Sus scrofa: one gene and its partner. The protein of the gene in region 2 interacts with the protein of the main gene of each other region in a pairwise test. Links are inferred from orthologs where the notes say so. Each region holds a gene or a part of one and is shown on either strand. Other genes may lie near its edges.

Region 1 (6,300 bases), on a different chromosome or scaffold from region 2:
TGCCAAGTTTAGAGAGGTTCATGATAAATAAACATCCTGTTTTGGCACTGAGGTTTCATTTTTTTTAATGTTAAAATTTTAATTTATAAAAATATTGGTAGATGGCATTGGTAAAGATCGAACTTTATTTTCCCGGTGGTTAATCCTTCCCTCACATTCTAAATATTCATTTATGTTAGGTTGGTTCCTGAACGCTAGTATTCTATTAACTTATTATAGTTTTATAATACTTTTCAGAAAGTTTGATCCATACCACTCTTTTTAAAAAAGAAATATTTACTCTTATAGATTAATTTTAGAATAATTTTGCCAACCCTCTCCCTCCCTTCCAAAAACATGCCACTTCTACAAAGAACTGCACAACATACGGAAGTTAGTTGAAAGACACTATCTGATTCTGGTTGAAGTTCTTCAGTTCTTTATACAGATACCATACTCTACATTTCCTATAGGATATAATCCTGCTAGTCTATGTTGTTACTGTTAAACAAGTGGGATCTGTTTTTACTCAACATAACTGAAAATTTAAACATTAAAAATTTTCTTATTGTGGCAAAATATATAAAAAATATACGATTCAATGGCATTAAGTACATTTGCGTTGATAACCATTCACCACCACCCATCTCTGTAACTGAATTCTGACAACATACAGGACATTACTGGTTTTTGCATTTATACTTTGTAAATGGCCACGATTCCTTTTTACTGGTTTTAACAGATTTGTGCTGATCCTGAGGCTGTTTGGGTGGACTAGCTGCTCTCAAAAGAAGTCCTAGCTCCAAGGAGGCTTGCTGTTTCCACTAGGATATGGGGAGCTGCCGGGAGGGAGATAGGGACACCAGCTCTACTGCAATACTCAAGACAGTCTCCCAAAACGAAGAATCCCAATTAACTTTCAAGTGTCTTGTCAGAATTCACGTAGATGAAAAACTTGTTTTTAACTACAAGACTTGAGCCTAATTTCATTTTATTTATAAACCAAAGATTTTTAGGCAATTTTAGTATTTACTGACTTTTATAAGAGGCAACTATTATGTTTTATAAACAGAGGAAATAACATGCAGTAATGCTCATTATTTGTGGTAGTTATAGTCTATAGTTGCTGCTGACACAGAATTAGCAAACACTAAACTACTGTTCTTAGGGGGACTATGTACATAAACACACACACCCCCCCCCCACTTATATGGATTATAATCTTAAATCCTAAAGTATCTCATTCTAGTATATTCTGTTTTATTTTACAAAAGAGAAGATGGAACTAAGAAGTGTTAAGTGATTTGCATAAGGCCACCCCACTAACACATGCCAGAGTTGGGATTCAACCTATCCAAACAGCTCGAGAGCTGCAGTGTCTTGCACTACACTGCCCGCCGCTGTCTCCGTCTATGTAGGAGAGCTCAAATAGGAGGGCAGAGGATTGCCTTGTTTGATCTCACAAAGAACATGCGGCTGGACAACTCAGATCTTTCCTGTGAACAACTGAGAAAGCATTGCTGGTATTGATCTGGAGGTTAACCATAAATTTTACTGAGTAGATGAGTCCTCAAATATAGAAAGTGGATGAATAGGATTTATTGTACTTTGCTTTATTTGAAACCTTTAAAGAAAATGACAAAACTGCCAGCAGTGCTGCTCATGGAATTTGCGACATGAACACACCCTGCACTGTAGCCGTCTAGGCGGGCTGGTGTGTACTGCTTGCTTGTTTGTCTTCTGGTGCTGCACAAATATCCACCTACTGAAATATGTATTTCATTTTACTATCAGTTACATTTATTGTCCTTTACATTACAACTAGGTCATTATATCACTTAACAATGAAATATATTATCTATGAATTTCATCCCAGGTTAGTACAGGGAGAATACAAAATATTTATTATAAAAGAGAGAACTAGGTCTGATGGAGTACAGAACTGCTAATGTAAATAACGTTATCTGCAAATAATGAAAAAGACTTCTTCCTTTTCAAGATTTCTTTTTCCTTTATGCTCTCATTTCTTTATCCCTTACAACTACATCAATCAGAATTATAGGAACACTGCTGAAAAAGCAGCAAGGTTAGCAGGCATCCCTATTTTGAGGTTTCAACAGTTAAAGAAGTATTCTTCTAGACCTAGCCTATTAACGGCTATAGCGGGACCAAGGGTGAAATTTTATCAAGTCTTTTTGACACCTATTGAAATAAACTGGTTTTTTCTTTGACCTGCTACCATGGTGAATTACAGTAATACATTTCTTAGTATTGAGCCATTCTTTCCATTTCCAAATAAATTCTATTTGCTTTTATAGTATTATTCTTCTAAGGTACTGCTTGATTCAATATGCTATTTTACATAGAATTCCTTCCTGTGAGACTGACCTAGAAAATTTTTTGTCTTGTCAGGTTTCTGTATAAGGGTTATGCTTCTTTCAGTAATTAACCAAGAAGTATTTTTCTTCTTTTAATGCTCAAGGAAACAATCTGTTCCCTGAAGGTTTGATAAAACTCACCTGTCAAAACCACCTTGAAGGGACAGTTCTTTGATAACTTTTAATTTCTTCCATGGTAATTGGTCTATTCAGGTTTCTTCTTCAGTCAATTTTGATAATTTATATTTGCCTACAAAATGATCCATTCCATCAAGATGTTCAATTTATTAGCACAGAGTAAACCCAGAATCAAAATAAAAATTTCCTCAGTATATAATTATATTCCCATTATGATCTGCAAATGTATGTTTTCTTTTTTATTTTTGTCAGAGGTTTACTTATTTCATTTTTTTTTCCAGGAAAACGGCTTATGGATTTAACAATTCTATTTTTAATTCATTAATTTCTATATTTATCTATTTCCTTTCTCTTCTTCTTCTTTTTTTTTCTTTTTTTTTTTGCTACCCTGCTGCACCTGGGATTTCTGGGCCAGGGACTGAATCTGAGTCAGAGTTGTGACCTACGCCACAGCTGCGGCAATCCCAAATCCCTCACCCACTGTGTCAGCTGGGGATCAAATCTGCATCCCTGCCGCTGTTGAGACACCACTGATCCCACTGCACCGCAGTGGGAACTCCATTTCCTTTCTCTTTTCTTATGGTTCTTTTGCTATTCATTTTCCAGCTTCTTGGACTAAATGCTTACATCATTTATTTCTATTCTAACTTACTTAGTAAAAGTAGTTAATTATTGGGAGTTCCCTGGTGGCCTAGTGGTTAGGACTTGGCACTTTCACCACAGTGGCCCAAGTTCAACTCCTGGTCTGGGGAGTGAGATCCCACATCAAGCCACTGCTGGCCATGACCACCCCCCCCCCCCATTATTGCTAATTCTCTGTGTGACACTTATAGCCTCATCCCATAAGTTTTCTTTTATTTATTTATTTATTTATTGCTTTTTTAGGACCGAACCCTTGGCATATGGAGGTTCCCAGGCTAGGGGTCTAATTGGAGCTACAGCTGCCAGCCTACGCCACAGCCACAGCCACACAAGATCTGAGCCGCGTCTGCGACCTACACCACAGCTCACAGTAACGCCAGTTCCTTAACCCACTGAGCAAAGCCAGGGATCAAACCTGCAACCTCATGGTTCCTAGTTGGGTTCGTTTCCACTGCACCACGATGGGAACGCCAAGTTTTCATTTATAGTATTCTCCTTACTAAATATTCTACAAACGCATTTTTATTTCCATTTTAACTCAATATTTCTAAGAGTTTTCTCTTCCCTGGAGTTCTAATTTTAAACAAATTTGTTGTTAGTTTCTCATTTTATACCAAAGTGCTATTAATACTAAATAAGTGAAAATCCAAAAGGCCTGTCTTAAGGTAGTATGTAGTTGTTAATCCCAAACTCCTAATTTATCCCTTTCTCCCATGTTTCCCCTTTGGTAACCATAAACTTGATTTTGAGATCTTAAGTCTGTTTTTGTTTTATAAATAAGTTCATTTGAAAAAAAGGCATTTTTTAAAAAATGTAAACAAGTACTTATTCTATTTCAATATTTAACCTAAGGAAACACAGTAGGGGAAATATCATTTCCACCAGGATTATATGCATGCATCTTGTAAGATTTAAATTTTTTCCATTCAAAGTTGTTACAAACGTATAGTAAGATATTTTCCATGCAGTGTCTGTACAAAGAAAAAACTCACACTAAACAGAGCAAGATTAAATGTCTTAAATTATAGCTCTAAGACTGTAAAAACAGTCTTTGATCAATCAAGGTCTAGACTTCAGCTCACCAACAGTGGCAATCCAAACAAAACTCATGTACAAGGAGGCCCAATTCGATCCTTTCTAATGTCTCCTAAGAGATCCCCTCACTCATAATTCAGTGGGGAGACAAATAAGCCTCACTGACTCCCTGACTACTGTCCTAAGTTAGAAACATATTAAACAAAGTATAAAATAAAATGTGGCTAATTTTCTCCCACAGTATGAGCATAAAAGCCAAATGCTAACTACTAGCCCACCGCACCCCAAGTCTATAATAAGACAGATACCTGATTCGATCGCTTGTTCCACTGTAACCCCAGCGGCTCTCTACTTGCTGGAATCTATTGATGCAGCATTCCTTTCCTCTGAGGCAGCATCTTGGTCGATCAATGTATTCAACTCGGGGCTTAGGGTTGACAGTAAAATGAAGGAAGAGATTTACTACTTCACGATCTGACAGAATTCCAGACTGAGCAGGACCTGTACAAATAAAAATATAAACCTCAATTAAAGCTACTTCATTGCAACTCCTAACTTTTTTATTCCACATAATAATATGAACTCAAATCTGGAAAGTGTAAAGTAATAATGAGGTAGAGAAATTTTACCTTGTTTTATTTTACTTTTTGGGGACACACCCACAGCATATGGAAGCTCCCAGGCTAGGGGCTGAACTGAAGTTACAGCTGCCGGCCTATGCCAAAGCCACAGCAACGCAGGATCCGAGCCATGTCTGAGACCTACATCACAGCTCATGGCAACGCCGCCGGATCCCTGACCCACTGAATAGGGCCAGGGATCGAACCCACAACCTCATGGTTTCTAGTCAGATTCATTTCCTCAGCGCTACGATGAAAACTCGAACATACATAATTTTAGCATCTATTTAAAAGTTTCACCAAATTCATCTGAGGTTAACCTAATATGTAAGTGTTAAAATCATTAATAAATCAAAGCTTAGATGAATCCCTGAGATCACAGAAAGATCTCTAAATCTTTTCTTTTTCTTTCTTTCTTTTTTTTTTTGTCTTTTTGCCTTTTTAGAGCAGCTCCCGCGGCATATGGAGGTTCCCAGGCTAGGGGTCCAATCGGAGCTGCAGCCACCAGCCTACCCCACAGCTCACCGCAACGCTGGACTGTTAACCCACTGAGCGAGGCCAGGGATCGAACCCCCAACCTCATGGTTCCTAGTTGGATTCATTAACCACTGCGCCACAACAGGAACTCCAGATCTCTAAATCTTTCTATCTACTCACCTTCTCTGAATATTCTGTTTACCAAAAAGAGAAGAGGTGGAGAAATGTTCACAGTGGAAGCTAGAGTTATCGTTACCTCTCCACCCCCATCTGTCTGAGGCTATAATCAAACGATGGAATATTTAGAGGTAGAAATAGATGGTACAGTGCTTCCACTGAGGGATTTAGAAATCAGCAGAGGGCAGGAGCTAATATTGGAAGAGCTGTGGAAGCAGTATATCCTATGTTACAGTTTTCTCATTCACTGTTTCTGGGAAGAGAAAATTCCAGACAGCTTACATTTATCCAGGAATAAATACTGCTCCTCATAAAAGATGACAGGAGATCCCATCCAAGGCTAATAAAAATGATCTAAAAAAAGACTGCAGAACTCTAGAAATTTGATTTAGGAAGCCATAAATCAGATTTAATGTAAAATGCCCTCATTTTTAAAGTAAAAAACATTTAAATGCGACACACAAAATCTACTGATCTGCCAGGCCTGGCCTCATAGTTCATTTGCAATCTCTAGAGAAGGAAAGATTGTAAAGAGGAAAAAAAATAAAATTACAAACTTAAAACCATGCATTTTAGCAAAGAAAGAACAGAACTGGAAGTGCATAAGATCAAAAGACAGAGATAAAAACTCATAACTTTCTCAGAATGACAAGAAGACAAAATAATTAAAATTTTAAGGTGATTAAACGGATTAAAAAAAAAAAAAAAACAGAGACCAACATATAGGTAACTAGTATTCCTGAAGAACTAACAGCAAGAAATAGGATGATGCAATAATTTAGGACTACAGGTATACCTTGCTTTATAATGCAATAATTTAAGACTACAGGTATACCTTGCTTTATTATGCCTCA
Region 2 (6,300 bases):
TTGTCAGGGAAATGGCACAGTGTGAGTTCTCATCAAGTAAATGCCTTGCTTATCTTACATTCAAGTTCCATCTCTTTGACTCAGAGCTCTGAACTTGGGTGTTCAAAGTCTTTATTCCACTATGCCTAAGCATTCTACTTCTGGGGCTGGGTCTTTGCAGGGTGAGAAAGACTGGCAGAAATATGAGACTGCTCGGCGGCTGAAGAAGTGTGTGGACAAGATCCGGAACCAGTATAGAGAAGACTGGAAGTCCAAAGAGATGAAAGTCCGGCAGAGAGCTGTAGCCCTGTACTTCATTGACAAGGTGATAGCATCTTCCTGTCACGTCACCTACCGTGTTCAGCTTAACAAAGGTGGAGGGAGCATTTACGCCTCCAGACCCCTGAGAAGCAGTGACAGCCCGTGGTCCCAGTGGTCCTCTTCACCCCATCTCTGGTCCAGTAGGGAAGGTAGAGATGGAGGAAGGTGATCAGTGTCTGCTGCTGTCTAGATATAGTCTTCCTAATAGGATTTTCATGAATCTGAATGCGCCAGAAATACTGTGACATTTTCAAACTGTTGCTGACATGAGGCACTCCCCAAATTTTATATCACAACCTAACACCCATAAACATATTTGTGTTGGTAGGTGTGTAACTGAAACAAAAGTTGCACAAAATGATGCTTGGCCTTTGCTTATAAGCAGTGAATTCTGGTGTTTTTCAGTTTCTTGTTTTTAAAAAAGGATGGTTATAACCCTTAAAATTGGTTAAACAATCTGCCAGTGTATCCCATCTGCAGTTTGCAAGACAGTTCTCTGGAGATGGTTTCTCAGCACTCTTTTGGAAGAAAAAGATTTCATATTTTCCCCCAGTTTTGTACTGTGTATGTTTATTTTAACACAAGTTCTGAATTGTCTTAAAAATTAAGCAAAATTAAGAGACTAGCTTTTTGAGCCTGATCGCCCAGAATTTTTTTTTAAAAAATGTTCTTTCTTCCATCCCCATTTAAGAGGACAGAGTAAAGAGAAACTTAGATTTCTGTATTTCCTGAGGTTCTCTTGTGGTGCAGCAGGTTAAGGATCCAGTGTTCCTGCATCTGTGTTGCAGGTCTCAGCTGTGGCATGGGTTAGATCCCTGGCCCAGGAACTTTCACAGGTGAAAGATGTGCCCCCCACCCCCCCAAAAAAAGTCCTTGATTCTCCATAATTCATTTCATAAGGGAAGAAGCAATGCAAATCCAGAGTTCCCAGGCCCTTGCAGACTGATGCTCTGTCTCCAAAGAGAATGGGGAGAGTTTCCTAGAGATCCTGTGAGATTCAAGTTTCTGCATGCTCATCTTTTTCTTTTTCCCTTCTTTCCTCCCTGGACAGCTTGCTCTGCGAGCAGGCAATGAGAAGGAGGAAGGAGAAACCGCGGACACTGTGGGTTGCTGCTCGCTTCGTGTGGAGCACATTAACCTGCACCCAGAGTTGGATGGTCAGGAATATGTGGTAGAGTTTGACTTCCTTGGGAAGGACTCAATCAGATACTATAACAAAGTCCCCGTTGAGAAACGAGTAAGTTAACATGGCCTGAGCTCCCTGGCCTGTTTTTTCATCCATTATTCAACAATCATTTTTTTGCCAGCTTTTCCTGTGCTCTGTGCTTTGCTGAACACTAGAAAAAAGTGACTTGAAAGAGAGGGAAGGGGTATTGTTTGGTGTCCTGTGTCCCTCCTTTTAGTCCTTGATTCTCATCATAAATTGCATGTAAGGTTTATTCCATCATGTTATTTTAATGATTTAACCACACTTCAATACCCTCTGGTCATGATGCACATATGTCAGCCTTGTAGCTTTCCTCAGCTTTCTCCCTACTCCTGATTCAGCCCTTGAGTCCCTGGATCTCTAAGTCTATAGCTCAAGAGGGTGCTGCAGTACTGCGGTCTCCCCAGCAGTATTGGGCTTAAACTAGAGACCTACAGAGTGCCAGGACCCCAGTAGTCTAGCCCATCAGCAGTCTGATGGTTCGTCAGTAATTAGATTTTGCTGGCTGTGGAAATGCTGTAGATTAAATGAAGCTAAAGAGATCTGACAAAATATCTGAACTTAGATTGGATTCCATACTGGGGAGGTAAAGAACATCATTGGGACAACTGACAAAATTGGAATATGGGCAATAGATTAGATAAAAGTATGTCTCAATATAAATTTATAAAGCTGATAAATACCATGTGTATAAGGGGGTATCTCTGTTCTTAGGTAATACATGAAATATTCAAGGGTAAATGGCCATAATATATGTAGGTTCCCAGAAATGGTTCACAGCAAATAATTGTGCATGTACACACATAGATGTAGAAGGAAGTAAGTATACATGTGCACTGCACAGATAGGAAGTGAGATAAAATGTTAATGGTAGGTGAATCTGAGGAAAAGATACGGTGTTCTTTGTGGGGTTTGTTTTTTATTTTCCTTTTTTAGCTTGCTAGCTTTTGTTAAGTGATTATTATTTTATAATAATTACTATTTTCAAAGTAAAGGTTTTAAAAATAATAATAAGGCTCTGCTTATTTCTTTTAGGTTTTTAAGAACTTACAGCTATTTATGGAGAATAAACAGCCTGAGGATGATCTTTTTGATAGACTCAATGTAAGTGGACAGAGTGCACAGGGTTGCAGAGGGGCCCGGCCAGAGCCTCCCAAGCTCCTTAAAGGAGAGGTCTTCCTGAGGGTCCCTGGGGCTCTCCCCTCAGCCTGTCCTGGGGCATCCTGTATACCCTCTCTCTCAGGCACACAGCAAATCCATGGTTGAAGATCCGGTGGGGGTGGGAGGTGGGGCGTGACCCCTGCCCGTTATCCTCCTCTGGCTCCTGCAGAACTGTTCCTTGGCTGGATGTTAAGCCACCTTTGCCAGAGACCCAAGTTTTATGGATTGCCGACAGGGGCTTCCTCTCTGCTCTAAAAATACCTGCATTTTGTGTTTTATATCTGTGATTTTAAAGCTCACAGAATGAAGATACAGTACTGTGATGTTCTGTTAAATTGGAAAGAGTCTCTGAGATCTTAATAGGGAAGGTACATTTGCTTTATTGGCCTGCTTAAGATTGGAGTGCTTCTTAGGGAGATACTCTGTATTCTGGAATTCTTTTCCCTTTTCCTGACCAACCCCCCCCCGGGGGGGGGGGCAGAGCAGTGAGCTTGGCAAGGTTGTGATGGCACTGGCATAAATATCTAGAGCTTGCCAGAAAGGCCAGGATGGTATGGCTTTTACCTAAATCCCATCGGTAAAAGCCTTTTGTTGCTTTGTCTCCCCCAGACTGGTATTCTAAATAAGCATCTTCAGGATCTCATGGAGGGCTTGACAGCCAAGGTGTTCCGTACATACAACGCTTCCATCACGCTACAACAGCAGCTAAAGGAACTCACAGCTCGTAAGTACTATTTGGCTAGACAGGGCCCACAGCCTTAACTAACGCTGTCCAGTATCTTATGCAGCTAAGTTGTAATTCTGCTTTTCCTCCTTGACATTGTGACTGGAAATTCCCCCCCCCCACACACACACACTTCTAACAGAGGGCTAAGGCTTAGTTGTGTAAACGTAGAACAGTGCTACTTGCCAAATTTCTACTCTAGCTTCTAGATTAGTTTTATGGATTGCCGACAGGGGCTTCCTCTCTGCTCTAAAAATACCTGCATTTTGTGTTTTATATCTGTGATTTTAAAGCTCACAGAATGAAGATACAGTACTGTGATGTTCTGTTAAATTGGAAAGAGTAAAGTTGTCATGGTTACTAAAACAACATAGTGGCAAATCCCTTCCCTGAGGTGTCTGTCCTTTTTTTCCCCTTTAGAATAGATAGTATTCTCCTAAAAACTAGCTGCAGATGGTACCACCAAGATCTCCAAGCTTTCTTCCGTGAAGTCTAGTCACTGCTAAATTTCCACTGTCCTCTAGAAATATTTCAGATGGTATTAGAAAGTGGCAATCAGGGGTTCCCTAGTGGCTCAATGGGTAAGTTAAGGATCCAGAGTTGTCACTGCTGTGGCTCAGGTTGCTGCTGTGGTATCAATTCGATCCCTGGCCTGGGAACAGCTGTGGCCAAAAAAAAAGGAAAAGAAAAATGGTATTCAGAACATCAAAGATGGGTATGTTGATGGTATTTTATTTTATTTTTTGTCTTTTCTAAGGCCACACCGGCGGCATATGGAGGTTCCCAGGCTACGGGTCTAATCAGAGCTATTGCTGCCGACCTATGCCAGAGCCACAGCAACATGGGGATCCGAGCCCGTCTGCAACCTACACCACAGCTCACGGCAACACCGGATCCTTAACCCACTGAGCGAGGCCAGGGGTGGGACGCGCAACCTCATGGTTCCTAGTCGGGTTCATTAACCACTGAACCAGACAGGAACTCCTGTTGACGGTATTTTAGAGAGGGATAAAGAATACTATATGGCACAAAAACACTTCTTGGATGACACTTTTTATTTTTCTTATTGAAAGATACAGTACTTTGTGGTTTTAAAATGTAAAATTTATAGTGCCTTTGTCTTACTTTCCTCTATACACTTTCTCTGTCCCAATGCCATATTTTCTTCAGGCTACTTTGAGTGGTTAGATGGGGGAGCACTGAGGCAAGCAGATGATTCTGTTGACTCAGATTCTGACCTTGTGCCAACTTGAGCTGATCATCTGCGCTAGATGAGGACCAGTTAATAGTGAGGATGAAGCACTGGGTATTATTTCTTGTTATACACACTGACTCTTTTATTACCATGTTTCTTTCTTCACAGCTGATGAAAACATCCCAGCAAAGATCCTATCTTATAACCGTGCCAACCGAGCTGTTGCAATTCTTTGTAACCATCAGAGGGCACCACCAAAAACTTTTGAGAAGTCCATGATGAACTTGCAGACTAAGGTATCTTGGATCTGGATGGCGGGATAGCAAAATGAAGAAAACCGTATCTGCTGTGGGCATTTATACTCCACCCTTCTGAGCTGGGGTATTAGACGGCCAGTTCTGGGTCCATTCTAGAAGAACGGTTCATGCTAAAGATAAAAAAATGGAAATATGATAGTAGTTACCTCTAAGATACTGAGTATCAAGTACTCATTGTTCAGGAAGTCTATTATTTTGTGGACAAAAGTTCTACATTGACTACTTCCAATTTTTAAAAGCTAAATTTGATGTACCTTCTTTGATATAACTGCTAATTGTTGCTTCTATACATGAGGATAATAGATACAAAGATATCTTTACAAATCATTTCCACAGCTCAGAACTATTAACTGTATCCAAACTGGATTGTTTAAAATTGAAAAAATGATGAAACAATGATGTTTAATTTCCCCTAATCCTAGCATAACTATTTTTATTTTTACACATGCCACATGAATCACATTTTTATATAGCTCATCATCAAACATCTGTTGAATACCGGCTGTGTGCCAGAGCTGCTGACCTAGAAGAGAGACTTAGGTGCAAACAACTAGATGCTGTTCCTCTTCCATGTGCCTCTTTCCTTCCTCTGACTCTGCCTGGTACTGAGCTTTGAAGCTGCAAGGCACTTAATATTTGATGATGATCACTTCTGTGTTAGCAAACTAATCCATTCTGATGTACTAACCCACAATGAGAATTTGCAGCTATTTCACCACAAAGCAGACACATGGATTACAAAGTAAATCAATTATTTTGAAAATGTATTTACCAAAAGCCCAATAAAGTGATAGATGTGCTTCCTCACTAATTTACTAAATAAAATCTTAGGTGGGTCTCATAATTATTGTAAATGTCAGGGTAGTAATAATGATACTTTGATTTCAGCAACAATTGTAATATGATATGAAAATATATGTACCATCTATTGGTGACAAAATCTGGAGTTCCCGTTGTGGCTCAGTGGTTAACAAATCCAACTGGGAACCATGCAAGTTCCATCCCTGGCCTTTCTCAGTGGGTTACAGATCCGGCGTTGCCATGAGCTGTGGTGTAGGTTGCAGGCGCGGCTTGGATCCCGAGTTGCCGTGGCTCTGGCCTAGGCCGGCAGCTACAGCTCCGATTAGACCCCTAGCTTGGGAACCTCCATATGCTGCGGGTGCGGCCTTAGAAAAGACAAAAAATAAAATAAAAATATTGGTGACAAAAGCATAGTACTACTGATATTACAGTGGTGGTTGCTCACATTCACAACCAAAGAAATGATGAGTTTCAACTAAAGGTAAACTAAATTACAGATTGATTCTTTTCCATCTGTTCACAGAATTCTATACTTGAACTGGAGTTTAAAAACTGCTGGAGGAAGTTCCCTTGTGGCACAGTGGGCTAAGTATGC

The links. The genes of interacting proteins can lie anywhere in the genome.
Region 1: the proteins of TOP1 (region 2) and BTBD1 interact in a two-hybrid assay, tested with the Homo sapiens proteins (2 studies listed by BioGRID). The link is inferred for Sus scrofa from reciprocal best matches to the Homo sapiens genes TOP1 and BTBD1.

What each region holds. Positions count from the first base shown.
Region 1 is NC_010449.5:51,911,093-51,917,392, reverse strand, and holds part of BTBD1 (BTB/POZ domain-containing protein 1), read right to left. Parts: intron 4,674-6,300; coding exon 4,481-4,673; intron 1-4,480.
Region 2 is NC_010459.5:43,788,459-43,794,758, forward strand, and holds part of TOP1 (DNA topoisomerase 1), read left to right. Parts: intron 1-160; coding exon 161-304; intron 305-1,351; coding exon 1,352-1,537; intron 1,538-2,542; coding exon 2,543-2,611; intron 2,612-3,277; coding exon 3,278-3,392; intron 3,393-4,429; exon of another isoform or gene 4,430-4,755; coding exon 4,756-4,883; exon of another isoform or gene 4,884-5,014; intron 5,015-6,300. UniProt on the Homo sapiens protein: Releases the supercoiling and torsional tension of DNA introduced during the DNA replication and transcription by transiently cleaving and rejoining one strand of the DNA duplex.